3 linked regions of the Canis lupus familiaris genome follow. Each later gene encodes a partner of the first gene's protein in a complex. Links are inferred from orthologs where the notes say so. Each region holds a gene or a part of one and is shown on either strand. Other genes may lie near its edges. The genes, in order: ARL1, GOLGA4 and ARFIP2.

Region 1 (5,282 bases):
TCTCTCTCTCTCTCAGTCAAATAAATAAAACCTTCTAAAAAAAAAAAAAAAAAAAAAGCTCTAAACAGCAAAACCCAGCCATGCACAGGGTTTCCAAATTGCCTCTAAATTTATGAAAAATAATGTAATTAATATTATGCCCACACTGGAAGTTTACAAACTCTACTATATTAAAATTACATTATATAAAAATAAATAAATAAATAAAAATAAAATTACATTATATGAACTACTTATCAGAAATAAAGTTATGTTAGATGGAAAAAAAAAAACCCTACAATTAGTTTATCATACCAATACTTACTAGGAATAGTAGTAACGACTTCTCCAACCTGTAATCTGTACAAAATTGTAGTTTTTCCTGCTCCATCTAATCCCAAAATTAAAATCCTCATTTCCCGGGTTCCAAACAGACTGGAAAAAATACTTGAGAAAAAGCCACCTGAAAAAAATAATAAAAGAAAAACATCATTTTGTAAACTAAGCCCACAAAACATTTAATCTTGCCCTTTGAAAGCTACACCAAATTAAATAATGCTGTAATATCTTCCTCAAAACTTAGGTACATAAGTTTGCTCTCAATGATATATATTAATCAACATCAAACAAATAATTACTGATTGTCACCATGTCCTGCATACTGTGTCAGGAAGGCACAGAAGATATATTCCAGAATAAGAGAAACAGAACCACTGCCCTCATGAGCTCATGAGAATATGGATACGTTGGCGTGATCTCACAACCCCCAAACACCATACGACAAATCGAAAGGACAATGAAACAATGAGGTCCTCACATGTGAAAAGCAATTATTATCACTGTACAACCAACATCCTAACTACCTTCAATCACTGAGATTTCTCTGTAATACTACTTGCAAAAGAAATTGAGACACAGAAGCCCAAAATAACAAAACCTATTTTTGAGAGAAAACTCATTTAAAAAAATAATAAAGCTTCACTCAATGTATCATGAAATATTTCCAGAAAAGTTTCCTATACGTAAGGTATTGTGGAATATAATGGTGGTTCTCAGAGGCTGGGGGAGTGGGGAAAAGGAGAGAGATGTCAAACAAGGGAACTGACTTTCCTTATAAAATGAGTAAGTTCTGGAGACCCAATGAACAGCATGGTAACTACAAAGAAAAAAAAAAAATCAACATACTGTATATTTGAAATTTTCCTTTTTTTTTTTTTCTTGAAATTTTCTAAGAGAGTAGGTCTGAAAGTGTTCTCACTAAATACAAAAAAAGCTCAGGTGGCAGATGTATTAATTAGCTTGATTGTGGTAATCCTTCCACAATGTATATCAAAACATCATATTGTACCCCTTAAATACGTGCAATTTTGTCATTCATACCTCAAGAAATCTGGAAAAAAATTAAAATTATCCTTTGTTTCAGCAGGGCTTCTTGGTAACAGATTTATGTGTTGACTCATTTGGGTTGTATTTAAATAAAAATTCCCTAAGAGGGGAGTTAGTGATTTAGAATCTTTATTATTCTTTTTACAACAAAAGAAAGCAGCTTTTTTTTTTTTTTGAGTAAGAGAGAGTGAGCTTGCCCAAGGGTGGTGTGGGGCAAAGGGGGAGGGATAGAGAGAGAATCCCAAGCAGGTTGCACACCCAGCACGAGCCAACGTGAGGCTCAATCTCATGACCCCCGAGATCATGGCCTGAGCCCAAATCAAGAGTCAGAGGCTCAACAAACTGAGCCACCCAGGCGCCCCAGAAGCTTTTTTAAAATACATTTTTTCTTTATGATCGCCAGAAGAAAGCACTTTGGCCCTTCCACACTAAAAGCCATTAGAGAAGAATAAAAGGAAGTTACATTAACAATATAAAAAAACAGCAGACAACAAAAATGATGCTACATGCAATACATGGTTATCTGACAAAGAAATGGCACAATTAAGGAATCCAAGTCTGGAGAAATGAAGACACCACAGGCCAGAGAACTTTGGGAAAGTGTAATAGGTGTATAACTTAAAATCTTTTCTACCTTTTACACCGTAAAAAGAAAAGAACTTGGGGTGCCTGACTGGAGCTGCAAAGGTTGCAACTGCTGATTGAATTCGAGCCCCATCTTGGGTGTAGAGATTAGTTAAAAATAAAATCTTCGATGAAAACCAAAACAAAACAAAATACCGAAGACAGAAATGAAAAAAGTAAAGTGCTTGTGATATTCCAGGGCAGGAAGTAAATCCCCCAGAAAATCGTAAAGGAATTAAAAATAGGCCAAAGAATTTGCATCATGTGTCCAGTTAGTTGTAAACCAGTTAAAAACACTGCACCTTCGTCCGGGCTGCAGCAGGGAGGGAAGCTAGGTACTGCTGGCACTTGTGATGACAAGGGAGTGCCCTCAGCCAGCACTCCAAATACTGAGATTAGAAATGGAAGACTCCTAACTCTGGGAAAAGAACTAGGGGTGGTGGAAGGGGAGGTGGGCAGGGGGTGGGGGTGACTGGGAGGTGGGCACTTGATTGGATGAGCACTGGGTGTTATTCTGTATGTTGGCAAACTGAAAAATTGAAAAAATAAATTTATTATTAAAAATAAATTAATAAAATTAAGTGAGATCCTCAAAAAAAAAAAAAAAAATCTCATTCACTGACCCATAATGACCAGTACCGTCCCCATTCCCTTTTTCCACCTTAACTATGTTATCTACATGAAAAGCTACAGAGAAAACAGGCAAATGCCAAGTGGTCTATAAAATATGAGCAACAATTCCCTTTGGATTTTTTTAACTGCTGCAATCCCAGGGTCCAAGAAGAGAGAACCAGGCTTCCACTGCGGGGTCAGACCTCCTCTGTCACGCAAGATCCCTCGGCGCACCTGCGACTGGCAAACGCCAAGCCTCGCAAGGCCAACTCTGCCCCCTGCCCCAAGTCGAGGGGGGTCGGAGGAGGTGACGGAGAAGTTCCTGCTCAGGGGAAAGGACTCGGGGCTGGGTTCCCAGGCCGCAGCAGAGCCCGTACCCCCTGACCCCTCCGAGGTGAAGGGGACAAGAGCGAGGGCAGGGGCGAACACTCAAGGCAGCGTCCAGCGCCACAGGTGAAGAGCCGCGGCAAGTTCAGTCCTCAAGGATCCGCCCCTGAAAAGCTCGCTGCTCTGGGCTTCCCAGGCCGCCGCCCCCGCGCCCCCCGACCGCGATCCCAGCCCTCAGCCGCAGCCCTTCGAGCGCTCCCGGAAGCCCTTCTCGGACCCTCACCCATGATGAACCGCCTGTCCGCCCTCGTCGGTGGTCAGAGACGGGCCCCGGCCTCGGCAGCGACTGCTATTCGAGCCTCGGCGCCGCCGCCCCTGCTCGCCCCGGCCTCCGGCCTCCGGCTCCGGCTCCGGCTCCAGGCGGATCCCTTGGAAGTCCGCTCCGCCAGCAACTTCCACGTCGGACTCCCGGCGGGGGCGGGAGCGACGGGCCGCGGCGGCTACGCGCCAGCAACGGCGACCTGAGCGTCCGCGTCGTCGCTTTCGACGACAGTCCGCGGCGCGCTGGGTGGAAGCCAGAAGATAAAAATATTCAAGGACCCCAAATCTCTCGTGTTTCTGTTTTCTTGTACTGAAAGGGCTTCCAACATGGGGAAATTCGAATTTTCCTTTTAAATTGTGACACCCGATAGTGGCGAATCTGCCACCCAAGAATTCGAGTTGGGCCTCGATGCAGCCGCCCAACGGGACGCAGACACCGGGTGCAGCGTCCGAGGAGTTAACTGCAGGTCGTCCAGCGCCCTGCGGGGGCGAAGCACCTTTCTCTGGGTGCCTTCTCCCGCACGGAAGTGAGACTGCGTAATAATAGTAGGAACAGCCCCGCGCCGCCAATGCGAGTCAGCCTTAGAGCCGCCTCGGCTTGCCGCAGGTTTTTGGAGGCGCGGTGGCCTGTAGGGTCGTAGCGTCCGCGTGAGAGCCCTGCATCCCTGTCTTCCACCTGAGCACCTGGCCTCGTATCTGGGTCGGCAGTAAGGAACGACCTGATTCAGATCAACGGGACTGAGGACCTGTTCGCTCGCTCGAGGGGCGTCTGTTGAGAGTTTTCTTGATAGGAAACTGTTTTGGGAGGAAGGAAGCGACGCTTGGACGATGGAAAGAAGGGATTCTCCTAATCTTTATAAAGGTTGAGGGTGCGTATCTTAAAAACTCGAAAAGGTACACAGAAAAGTAAACCCATACCTAGCCTCAGATCCCACAGTTCTCCGTAGAAGTCACCATTGTAAACCCTTTCTTAGGTCTCCTTACAAATATAATTTTTACCTATTTTGTTTTTATTTAAAGCAGAGCTTTTCATCCATTCAACAGAAGTTCATTGACTTGTTTTTATTTTTTTTTTTTTACTTCAATTTTTAAACCTCTCCAGCTGCCTAGGCATTGAACTAGACTTGCCTATTGCCCTTGCCTCTCTTCCCCGCTTCTAAATCATAAATTCACAGAAACTTTACTCGCAAGGAAAAGTTTGGCTTTATTTGTTCTTTGTTGTTGTTGTTTAGAAGGAGACAGTTGAGCGACTCTGTATTTAAACACCTGGACCTTTTTAAGGTTGTGCTTTGTAAGTATTCCATCGTCCCAAGGTGTTGGACATAAGTGGGCTCAGGTTCCATGGACCCTTTTCACCTGTTCTTCATCTGCCTCCAGGTCCGTATCTTCGCCAAAATTAGCTACTGCCACTTGGCAAATCTTGGCCGTTGCCACTTCAAATTTTGCCCATGTCAGATTTAAGTTGCCAGCATAATGCACATAGTTCTCTGAAAATACAAATTCCCTTTGGGATAACTAAAAGGAAAGTTTACGCTGTAAATTTTATATTTGCACTGAATGTTCTGAGCGAAATAAGCAAATGAGACCTGTGCGAGGATGCGGTGTAAACTGAAGTGCTATATGCAGATTAAAAAGCACTATTAATGCTATTAAATGGCATTTTAGCCTTTCATAATGTGTATTAAGCACCTAATTACAAGTCCCTATGGAAACAATGTGATAAAAAAAAAAACAAATAAAAACCCTGTTGGCAATTTGATCAAAAACTTTTTCTTTAAAGATTTATTTATTTATTTGAGTGGGTGGGTGGGGCAGACGGAGAGAGTCCTCCAGGTCAACTCCTTGCCGAGGGCTGGGCTGGATCTCAGGGACCATGAAATTATGACCTGAGCCAAAATTGAGTCAGACGCTTCATGACTGAGCCATCCAGGTGCCCCCAAAACTTTATTTTTTAAATTTACTCATTTAACTCTTTGCTTTATTCATATTTGATCTCATTTCCTGGTTGCATCAAAAGCTCTTCTCCATTCTCA
Region 2 (4,723 bases), on another chromosome or scaffold:
CTCCCTCATCAGCTGTTTTAATGTGGAATTGTGTCTCAACTCAAGATCTTCCTGCTCCTGTCTGTGTAACAAAAATGTAAAGAGCTAACTGCTGTAAAACACAAAACAAGCTATACAGAGTTACCTAGTCTTCACAACATGCACGTAAGATCTCACTGGTATAAAAACATGTTTAAGGGTGCATATGTGGGGGCAGCCCGGGTGGCTCAGTGGTTTAGCACAGCCTTCATTCAGCCCAGGGCCTGATCCTGGAGACCTGGGATCGAGTCCCACATTGGGCTCCCTGCATGGAGCCTGCTTCTCCCTCTGCCTCTCTCTCCCTCTCTGTCTCTCTCATGAATAAATAAATAAAATCTTTAAAAAAAAAAAAAAAGGGGTGCATATGTGTATATGTGTGGTCTAGGGACAGGAAACTCCTGGAAGGATACAGAAACTATGATTATCTCTAGACAGTGGTCCTGGGGATTTGAGAAGTCTTCTTTTCCACTTTAACTTTTCATCATATACATCTATCTTACATGATAACAATGCTGATACTAAAAACAGTAAAACAAAGTAATTACTGGGATACGTACCTAATAATTGTATATGCAAAAAATGGTTTTTCCCCCTCTAAATGGACATGAAGTAACACTGCCTCTTGCCTTAAATTGTTTTTATTTCTTCTCAGCATTTAATGTACTTGACTTATGTTTCATAGTTTGGGTAGGTGAAATTTAGGTGCATTAGGCATAATAAAAAGACTTAATTAAAAAGGACTGTCTTAAAAATACTCATGCCGGGAGACTTCAGTTGGTTAAGTGTCCGACTCTTTGCTTTTAAAGATTTTATTTAGGGGATCCCTGGGTGGCTCAGCGGTTTGGCGCCTGCCTTTGGCTCGGGGCATGATCCTGGAGATCCGGGATCGAGTCTCATGTCGGGCTCCCTGCATGGAGCCTGGTTCTCCCTCTGCCTGTGTCTCTGCCTCTCTCTCTCTCTCTCTGTGTGTGTGTGTGTGTCTCTCATGAATAAGTAAATAAAATCTTTTTAAAAAATAAAGATTTTATTTATTTGAGAGCGAGAAAGTGAGCATAAGCGGGGGTGAAGAGGTGGGGGGAAAAGCAGACTCTGTGCTGAGCAGAGGGCCCAACATGGAGCTCGATCCCACCACCCTGAATCATGACCTGAGCTAAAATCAAGAGTCAGATGCTTAACCAACTGAGCAACCCAGGCATCACAAGTGTCCAACTCTTGATTTCAGCTCAGATCATGACCTCAGGGTCATGAGATCGAGCTCCACACTGGACTCGATGTGCAGCTTAAAATTCACTCTTTCCTTCTCCTCTGCCTCTCCCTTCTCCCTGCACTCACTCACTCACTCACTCAATAAATAAATATTCATGCTGGAAAACTTACTTGATTTTCTCTTCCATTTCTTGTTCATATTCTTTCTTCATGATATCCAATTCTTGCTGATGCTCCTTCCGCAACATTCGAAGATCTTTCTGCAACTTAACAATCTCCTTGCCCAGCTTCTGCTTCTCCTGCTCTGCCCCTGCTAATTTAAATTCCAGGTCATTGTGCTGGACCTCCATGTTACCAGGCAATATGGGTTGGACTACATGTGATTTGGACTTTTCTTCAGCACTTTCTTCCAAAGCTTCTATGGGTTTATTTTTTTCATCCATCTGTCGTTGTAAAGCCTGTAATCTGTCAAATTTTGAGGTCAACTCTTCCATTTCAACTCTATGCCCTTCCCTTTCTCTTACTAGGCAGGAATCTAGCTCCTTTATCTTTTGCTCCAAGATCTGACAAGTTAGTTCCTTCTCGTGGAGAGTTTTCTGGACATCATCAACCACATTTTCCAAGTTTTGCTTTGTTCCTATGGTATTTTTACCTCCTTCTTCTTCCACATGCTGGGATGCTACCAAGGAATATTTCTTGCCTTTTTCTTCAAGTTCTTCTTGAAGACAATTTATCATAACTTGATCTTCATGCTGCTTAGCTTCGGTGTGCTCTATCTTTATTAAGAGTTCCTGGTATCTGCACTGCATTTCAGAATGAGAAGATATCATCTCTTCTTTTTCCTGCTCTAGCCTCTGCAACAGCTTTTCTTTTTCCATTAGACTTCTTTGTAAAGTACTGATATTTTCTTCATATGCTTTCTGCACAGAGCTTTCGGGATCTATTCCTTGCTCAGCACAGGCTACCATGTATTTTACTGATGTGGGTACAACTGATGCTTCTGACTGTGGTAGACCTTCCACTGATTTAAGTTTTTCTTCCAACACCTGAATTTCTCTTTCTTTCTCCTGCAATTTTGTATTTAGCTCACCCAAGTGACCTTCTGTGTCTTTTTTATATTGCTGTTCTTTCTCTTCCATTTGAGATAACAACTGCTTCTTGATGGCAACAATTTTTTGTTCAGCTTTTTTCTTCAGTTCTGCTAATTTTGCAGCACTTTCTAACTCAAGTCTATCTTCCAGTGCCTTAAACTCCTCTTCTTTGCCCTTCATACTTGAATTCGCATGGTCCAATTCTTTCTTCTTGGTTTCAAGCTCAGATTTCATGGATGACACTTGCTTTTCAAGTCTTGAGACTTTTTCTTCGGCTTCTTTAACCCTGCAGTCCTTTTCGTCTCCTAATTCTTGAATGTGCTGAAGTTTCTGACGCATCTCCTTCTGTTCTGTATCCTTCTGTTGATTGTAACTGTTAAGAACTTCACTTAAAGACTTAATTTCAGTTGTTTTCTGAGTAAGATGCTCTTCTAATTCCGCAATTCTTGCTGTTTGCGTTTTTAACTCAGTCTCTAAGTTACACTCTTTTTTCTCCAGCTTGCTCTTCTTATCTTCCATCTCACCCTTTAAACATACCAACCTCTCATTCTGCTGATCAAGGTCCTCCTTCAATACCTGTATCTGTTCATCCTTTTCACTGGCTTCCTTTGTTTTTAACTCAAGCTGCATCTGCAATTCTTTAATAGTACTTTGATACTGCAGAAATTTTGACTGTGCTTTCTTCTTCCACTCTGAGAATTTGTTGGACAAGTGATCTACCTGTTCAAGAGCAGAGGTCTTCTCTTTATTCAGAGTTTCAACTTTCAAAGATAAATCTTGCACCTGACCCAGCAATTCCTGTTGTTGTTCATCATATCGCTTACTTAGTGATGAGATGGCTGCTTCCTTCTCAGTCAGGCTGATACTGTTCTGAAGCTGAGTATTCAAATCAGTTAGCTGCTTACTAAGACTGCTGATCTCAGATTTCTTTTCTTTAAGCTCTTCTTTCATCAGTGTGACAACGTTGATGTTCTCTGATAACTCTTTCTTCAACTGTGTGATACAAGACTCTTTTTCAGAGGCAGCCTGTTGCTGGTTGCCTCCTTCCTTCTGTAAGGCTTCTTTTTCCATGACCAGACCTTCAATGTCAGCCTTCATGCTCTTAATTTGATTTTCTTTTTCTTCTAATTGATGGGTAGCCTGCCGAAAAGAACTATTTAGTGCATTCTGCTCTTCTGTTAGCTGTCTAAGCTGTGCTTCTAATTCAGAAGCTTTGCAAGTTTTAATCACTAGTGCTTCCTTAACTTTTGTTGTGTGGTGCTGACAGTGGGAAATCCTAGAGAGAATGGCATTAATTTTACTACTACTCGTGTTGATTAGCTCATTTGTTTTAGCTTGTAACAAGGCTTCAGTTTTCTTAGAGTAAATATCCAGCTGAACTACTAATTCCTCAGATAGTTTTTTGAATTCCAAGCTTTTGTCTTCTAGGCTTTTCTCACTTCTTTCATGTGAAGATCTCAAACTCTGGAATTCCTCATCTGTGGTTTTCAACTTGTCAGTCAACTCAGAAACCTTCAGCTTGTCTTTTTCTGCTAGCATTTCCAGTTCAACTATATGCTCCTGAAGAGAAGTATTTTCCTTCAGAGAATGATTCAAGTCAACCTCCAGCTTTTCAAGTTGTGCTTTTAGTTTCATTTCATTTTGTGAGAGAGAATTCATATGAGCAGACTTCTGGTGTAATTGTTCCTGTAATTCCTTTACTACTGTGTCCTGCTTAATGCCTTCTGCTTTCAGCCAGGCTAGTTCCTTGTTCATCTCTTCTTTTTCACACCCTGATTGGAAGATCTTTTGCTTTAGTTCTGCTACCTCTTGCTCTTTTTCCTGTAATTGGATTTCATGTTTTTCCTGAAGTTCTTCAGCTTGCTGATTAAGTTTCTTTTCCCAGACTGATACAACATCACTGAGTTCTCGTCTATGTACCTCAGTGAGACTTTCTATTTGCTCCTTTTGGTTTGTTTCCAGTCTTGATACTGCATCACTGATTCCAGCAGAGTTAGCTTGTGCCATTTCCAAAATTTGGGCATTGAACTGTTTTTCTTTCTGACTAAGCTCTAGAACCGTATTTTCAAGCTCTTTTTTAAGTTTGGCTTCCTGATCCAGTAATTTCTTCTTTAACGTTTCTTGCATCTCTTTTGCTTTCTGCTTAATTTTTTCCATCTTTTTTTCTTGATTTTTAAATTTGGTTTCGTATTCCTCATGTAAAACACTAAAACTGTCCTCCTTGGCTGATAATTTTTGTCTAAGTGTTTCAATTTCTTTGCTCTGTCCTTCTCTCATTTGTAAAATTACATTTTCCTTTTCTATCAAACTCTGTTTTGTCTGTGCCTGTTCTGTGCTAGTATCTTTAAGCTGGGACTCATAACATTGGGTTAAAGACTGTAGTTTTTCCTCCATTTCATTTTTCTGTC
Region 3 (5,465 bases), on another chromosome or scaffold:
GAGAGGCTCAGCATGGAAATAACAAAACCGGGACAATGAAAACAATGATGGGTAGAGGACAGAAGAGCTGGAATTAGATTATAGACTTGGAGGTAACGATAAAGAGGTCCCAAGGATTTGTTTTATCTTTTTCCCCATAACCATCATCATCTATTTCTCCCCTGAGCTTTTGTTCCTTGGGTCTGGCTATATTGTAGAATATGGTCCTCCAAGTTCCCCCTTTCTGACTGCTCCTGAAGACAAGCACACAGACCTTCTTTGTGTAAAAGCTTTACTGCTCATCCTGGGGAAGACAGAAAATAATAAGAAAATAACAACTTGGGAAAATGGCTGAAGTTCCAGAACACCCCGAAATCTTACAGGTTTCATTTCAGTTACGGGGCTACTGACTTTCCAGAAGGCACTGCATACAAAAACCCTGTGATTTCTTGATCTGTTATTCTTAGGTATCTCCTCCTTCCCCTAAATTTAGGAGAATTCTTTAGAGCCCATGAAAAGAGTTATAAATGAATGCACACCCAGCTCACAAATAAACCATTAAGTCAGATTTAAGTGAAGGACAACAAGAAGAGCTCTTATTTTCTCTGCCATCTGGGCAGGAACCAACTTCCTATTGCTATTACTAACATTAAAATCGTACCACAGGGGTGCCTGGGTGCAGTTGGTTAAGTGTCTGTCTTTGGCTCAAGTCATAATCCCAGGGCCCTGGGATCAAGCCCCGCATCTGGCTCCCTGCTAGGCCCGGAGTCTGCTTCTCTCTCTGCCCCTCCCCCTGCTCATTCTCTCTCTCTCTCTCACATAAATAAATAAACAAAATCTTTAAAAAAAAGAAAGAATTAAGTAAGATGCACCTGGGTGGCTCAGCCATTGAGCGTCTGCTTTTGGCTCAGGGTAGGATCCTGGGGTTCTGGGATCAAGTCCGGCATCGGGCTCCCCACAGGGAGCCTCTGCTTCTCCCTCTGCCTATGTCTCTGCCGCTCTCTGTGTGTCTCGTGAATAAATAAACTCTTTACAAAAGAAAAAATTGTACCCACAGGCCTTGTTTTAACCAGGTGCCAGGAAATGTTGAGGTTTTCCTTCTACACATAGAAGCCAATTTCTCCACTGCCAGGGCTGAAGCCAACAGATATGCGCTGACAGGATAAAGGATGGGGCCAATAAAGCGGGCAAAGCTTCCGTGCCCAGAACATAAATCAAACAGTGCAAAAGTGGGTTTATTGGCTCCAAGAAAAGGAGCAATACTACCCAGCTGTCAGACAACCCCTCACTCTATATATGGGCTGCATCCAGCCCAAGGTCCACTGGCTCCTTCAGTTTGAGGGTCCATCCAGCGCCTCCCTTCCTAGCTGCCTGATGGTGAGGTTCCGGGCTGTTCTGCAGCAACACCTGGCCCAGCTGAGGCAGCCTCGTAGTCTGCGATGCGGCGCTGTACCAGAGCCGGCATGAGCTGCACGTAAGCGGCCATGAGGCGGTGGTTGGAATGGATCAGCTTCCCAGCACAGCTGTGCAGACAGGCCTCCTGGAAGGAAGACAGGGTGAAGCATTGGTGTCCACTGGTGTCCGTCCCATCCCTGGCCCAGGGGCAAGGGTCATGGAAAGGCCCGGGCCAGAGGTAGGGGCGGTGGAGGTTGGGGACAGTCTACGGCGAACCCCACCTAACCTCTTCAGCGTCCAGAGCTCGGTGGTGCAAGCTGGGCACGCAGCGCTGGAAGCAGAGTTCCGTCATCCGATTGTAGACCAACAGGAAGTCCCGCAACTAGGAGAGAAGGGGACAAAGAGCCCAGCGATAAGGGGGCACCTCGAGGCCGCGCCCTCGAGGTTTCCCAGGACGGCGCGCCAGAGCGCGACGTTCCCAACCCTCCGCCCTCCAGCCAAACGGACGAAGATGCCAGCTGAACTGATGGCCCCGTCGCGACTTAGCACCCACTCACGTTCCTCAGCTGCTGCTGCTGCTGCTGCTGCTGCTGCGGCTCCATCGCGCCACCGGCGCACGCACGTCACTTCCGCACAGCCTCTTGGTAACGCCCCGGAAGTGACCTCTCCTGGCTCCCCGGGGACTGAGGGGTTGCCTCAAGGATCGCCCCGCCCCTGGCTTTAACGTCATCTCCGCCCTTATAGTCTGCGACGTGGCCGGCTTCTTCTGCCCGGGAGGGGACGTCACTTCCGCCGAGTCCCTGACCTGCTGCTAGGATCGCGACGGGAACTGGAGCCCGAGGTCCCCGCGCGGCCCGGGCCTGGCGCCCTGAGGGGAAGAGCGGCCCGGCCCGAGGTGAGAAGGACATACTTGGGCAAGGGGAAGTTGAATGCACGAGCCTGCCCCGAGGGAAAGATGCTACAGAGCCCTGGGGAAGGATGAGGACACACCTGATGCCCAGGTGTGGGGTGGGGGGGGGGCGGGGACTAACACACCTGGGGGACATAACTGACTTTGGAAGGGATCACTATGTGCTGGGAAAATGTGGCTTTTCCCAGAGGCCAAGAACGGACACCAACTGATTCAACTAGGGCCTGCAGGGGGAGGGCTGCAGGAGGAGGGGGTGCATGGGATGGAGGAGGGAGAGACCACCTGAAGGAAAGGGGAAGCAACCCTAAGGGAGTGTGAGAGGCCAAGCAATGGAGAACATACCAGAGCGGGAGGAGTAGGCTCCTGAGCCCTGGAAAGGGGTTAATCTGATGGGAGGAAACAGCTGCATGGGGGTAAGTTCCAAAACAGCACAGACTTTCTCTCCCTTGGCCACTGCTGTGACCTCAAATAGTAGTCTGTTGAATGGTTGAACGCATGAGTGATCACCTGAGTCCTGGTGGGGTTGGGGGTCCGTGAGAAGATACTGGGGACCTGGGTGTGCATGTGGAAAGATACACACCCTGGAGGGGAGAAATACATATCTACGAGAAGAAAGGAGTGGTGGCCGAACCCCAGGATACTCAAGTCTTGGGACAACCTCTAAAATCTCTGAAATGGTGGGGGAGACTTTTCTTTCGGGAGTACTGGCTAGTTTCCAGAACTGTCTGTGTTGGGCTTTGCAGGGCGCTGGGGTGGAGACTTTGACTCCAATCCCTTCCCTAGCCATGACGGACGGGATCCTAGGGAAGGCAGCCACAATGGAGATCCCCATCCACGGGAACGGTGAAGCCGGGCAGCTTCCTGAGGATGATGGGCTGGAGCAGGTGCTTCTGTTTGATTCTTCTCCATATTGTTTCAATTTAGGAGTCCAAAATCATAAGCCCTGGGCTCTCACCCCATTCCAGGAGTTTTCCCCTAACTTATCTAACTCCCTCCAATCTTTACATATCTTCATTCTGATTCTATGCAGACTTCCCTTGTGTGCTCTCTCTGTGATGCTTCAATCCAAGCTTGTTCTCACCCCCCAAATGCTTCAGCTGCCCCAATGTTCCTGAAGCCCCCCTCTTCTCTGGCCTATAGGACCTCCAGCAGGTGATGGTGTCAGGACCCAACCTCAATGAAACCAGCATTGTGTCTGGTGGCTATGGGGGCTCTGGTGATGGACTCATCCCCACAGGTATGAATGATCAGAACAGGACAGGAAGCTTGAATGGACAGAGGGAGTGGAATGGTTCTGGGGAGTATAGGATATGCCTAAGATAGCTTGAACTATGTCTGGAGATTTTGGGAACTCTTGCTAGTACAAGCCCAATGGACTCTACTCAGCCCAAGGCTAGAGCCTAGGGCTGTCCAACTGCTCCCGCTTGCCATTTAGCCCTGAGATGTGTCCATTTGTCCTTTCTTTGCTGCCACCACCTGAATCACATTACGAACTGTTTTGCAGAAGTTCTCCTGCTTTGGAGCTTGAGACTTATTTGGAACTCTGAAGCTTCTCAAAGTTTTGCTTCAGATTCTCAAGTTTAGAGAAGCAAATAGCCCTGAATTTCACACTGACTAGGATTCCACATGAGAACGTCAATGAGATTTCCTATTGTCAGGAACCCACCATCCTTGACCTGCCACCCAATACTCAGCATATTTTCTTCTGTTTTCTCTGCCCCTGTACATCAGCAACTCCCTCCCTCCCCCCACTCCAGCCCCCATCACCATCTCAGGAGGAGGCCAGATATATATTGGGATTTGGGTTTCAGGGCACAAGGTATGAGTTCTTCCTAGTGAGTAGGAGAATTTCTAGTTTCTGCTACTTCAGAGAAGTCATTTTCATGGTGGGAAGTCGGTGGAAAGTCATTTCATAGTGGGGTCGGTGGGAAGTATGGGTGGAGCCACAGAGATGTCTGGTTATATCAGAGAGGCTGGTGTCAAAGAACTTGGTTCTTTAGGGTCTGGCCGCCATCCATCTCACAGTACCACTCCTGCTGGCCCGGGAGATGAGGTGGCTCGGGGCATCGCTGGAGAAAAGTTTGACATCGTCAAGAAATGGGGCATCAACACATATAAGGTGGGATTTAAGCACCTTTCCCTTTCCCCTTCCCCAGACTTCCCCTGGGTACCTTTTCCCCATCTTCCAGATTCCACTCTCCCATCCTTGTCTGAGACGAGGAGCCTTGGGATGCTAGGGTAGATACCTGTTGGGGGGGCAGGGTGCTAGGGTCTCTGACCTATTCCCCCACTTCCCAATCAGTGCACAAAGCAGCTGTTATCAGAGCGATTTGGCCGAGGCTCCCGGACTGTGGACCTGGAGCTAGAGCTGCAGATTGAGTTGCTGCGTGAGACGAAGCGCAAGTATGAGAGTGTCCTGCAGCTGGGCCGGGCACTGACAGCCCACCTCTACAGCCTGCTGCAGACCCAGCATGCACTAGGTGACGCCTTTGCTGACCTCAGCCAGAAGTCCCCAGAGCTTCAGGTGCCTTGGTCAGGCCAAAGAGGGTGGGGGGACTGGGCCCGGGCCCTCCCAGGCAGTCAGCCCTCAGCCTCCCTCCCTCCCTCCTGCAGCCCAGAGGGAGAACCCCTCCAGGGTAGGCCCAGCCCTACCCCCAGCAGCACTCACCTGTGGAGGCAGCCTAAGGGTTTGTACAGAGGTTCAGAAGTTGGAGGGGTGGGGGAGGCGGCACACTAGATGCCTCACAAGTAACCCTTCTCTGCATCGGTGCTCGGCCTAATCAGAGCCCCCCTCCCCGCCCCTTGCCTGCTGCACTAGCTTTCCCTGTTCTCGTCCTGTGAACTTATCTGAGAACCCACTCCCATACTCCTACCCCAGCCATCCCCGGGGTGGCCCCAATAACTTTCTGGCTAAGAGAGCCTTGCTGGAGCAGTCCTTGGTTGTTCCAGTTTTGATGGCTCTTTCCTTCTGGGGGAGGAGGGGAATGAGGGCCCTATAGCTTTAGTTAGGTAGGAATTGTTGCTCAAGGCCTATCCTCCCCTTCTGCCCTCAGGAGGAATTTGGCTACAATGCAGAGACACAGAAGCTGCTGTGCAAGAATGGAGAGACACTGCTAGGGGCTGTGAACTTCTTTGTCTCTAGCATCAACACTTTGGTCACCAAGACCATGGAAGACACTCT

The links.
Region 2: the proteins of ARL1 (region 1) and GOLGA4 are in contact, whole or in part, in a crystal structure (PDB 1UPT), measured with the Homo sapiens proteins. The link is inferred for Canis lupus familiaris from reciprocal best matches to the Homo sapiens genes ARL1 and GOLGA4. Residues at the interface, in NP_001168.1 of Homo sapiens: Ile49, Gly50, Phe51, Gln64, Trp66, Ser73, Ile74, Pro76, Tyr77, Cys80, Tyr81, Ser83, Glu115; in NP_002069.2 of Homo sapiens: Thr2173, Glu2174, Glu2176, Tyr2177, Lys2180, Val2181, Glu2184, Glu2190, Thr2193, Lys2196, Val2197, Thr2200, Val2201.
Region 3: the proteins of ARL1 (region 1) and ARFIP2 are in contact, whole or in part, in a crystal structure (PDB 4DCN), measured with the Homo sapiens proteins. The link is inferred for Canis lupus familiaris from reciprocal best matches to the Homo sapiens genes ARL1 and ARFIP2. Residues at the interface, in NP_001168.1 of Homo sapiens: Glu17, Arg19, Gln38, Ile46, Ile49, Gly50, Phe51, Asn52, Val53, Glu54, Thr55, Gln64, Trp66, Ile74, Tyr77, Cys80, Tyr81; in NP_001363487.1 of Homo sapiens: Phe205, Thr212, Lys216, Thr217, Asp220, Asp278, Ile281, Lys282, Phe285, Leu286, Glu288, Asn289, Lys292.

Annotation. Positions count from the first base shown.
Region 1 is NC_049236.1:40,690,993-40,696,274, forward strand, and holds the start of ARL1 (ADP-ribosylation factor-like protein 1), read right to left. Parts: upstream 3,427-5,282; 5' UTR 3,216-3,426; coding exon 3,212-3,215; intron 443-3,211; coding exon 305-442; intron 1-304. UniProt on the Homo sapiens protein: GTP-binding protein that recruits several effectors, such as golgins, arfaptins and Arf-GEFs to the trans-Golgi network, and modulates their functions at the Golgi complex.
Region 2 is NC_049244.1:7,427,146-7,431,868, reverse strand, and holds part of GOLGA4 (golgin subfamily A member 4), read right to left. Parts: coding exon 1,396-4,723; intron 62-1,395; coding exon 1-61. UniProt on the Homo sapiens protein: Involved in vesicular trafficking at the Golgi apparatus level. May play a role in delivery of transport vesicles containing GPI-linked proteins from the trans-Golgi network through its interaction with MACF1. Involved in endosome-to-Golgi trafficking.
Region 3 is NC_049242.1:30,302,982-30,308,446, reverse strand, and holds the start of ARFIP2 (arfaptin-2), read left to right. Parts: upstream 1-2,118; 5' UTR 2,119-2,269; intron 2,270-3,027; 5' UTR 3,028-3,069; coding exon 3,070-3,168; intron 3,169-3,424; coding exon 3,425-3,521; intron 3,522-4,284; coding exon 4,285-4,403; intron 4,404-4,586; coding exon 4,587-4,808; intron 4,809-5,337; coding exon 5,338-5,465. Other genes in the region: TIMM10B (mitochondrial import inner membrane translocase subunit Tim10 B), read right to left, coding at 1,343-1,519, 1,661-1,756, 1,932-1,976. UniProt on the Homo sapiens protein: Plays a role in constitutive metalloproteinase (MMP) secretion from the trans Golgi network. May have important functions during vesicle biogenesis at certain cargo subdomains, which could be predominantly utilized by secreted MMPs, such as MMP7 and MMP2.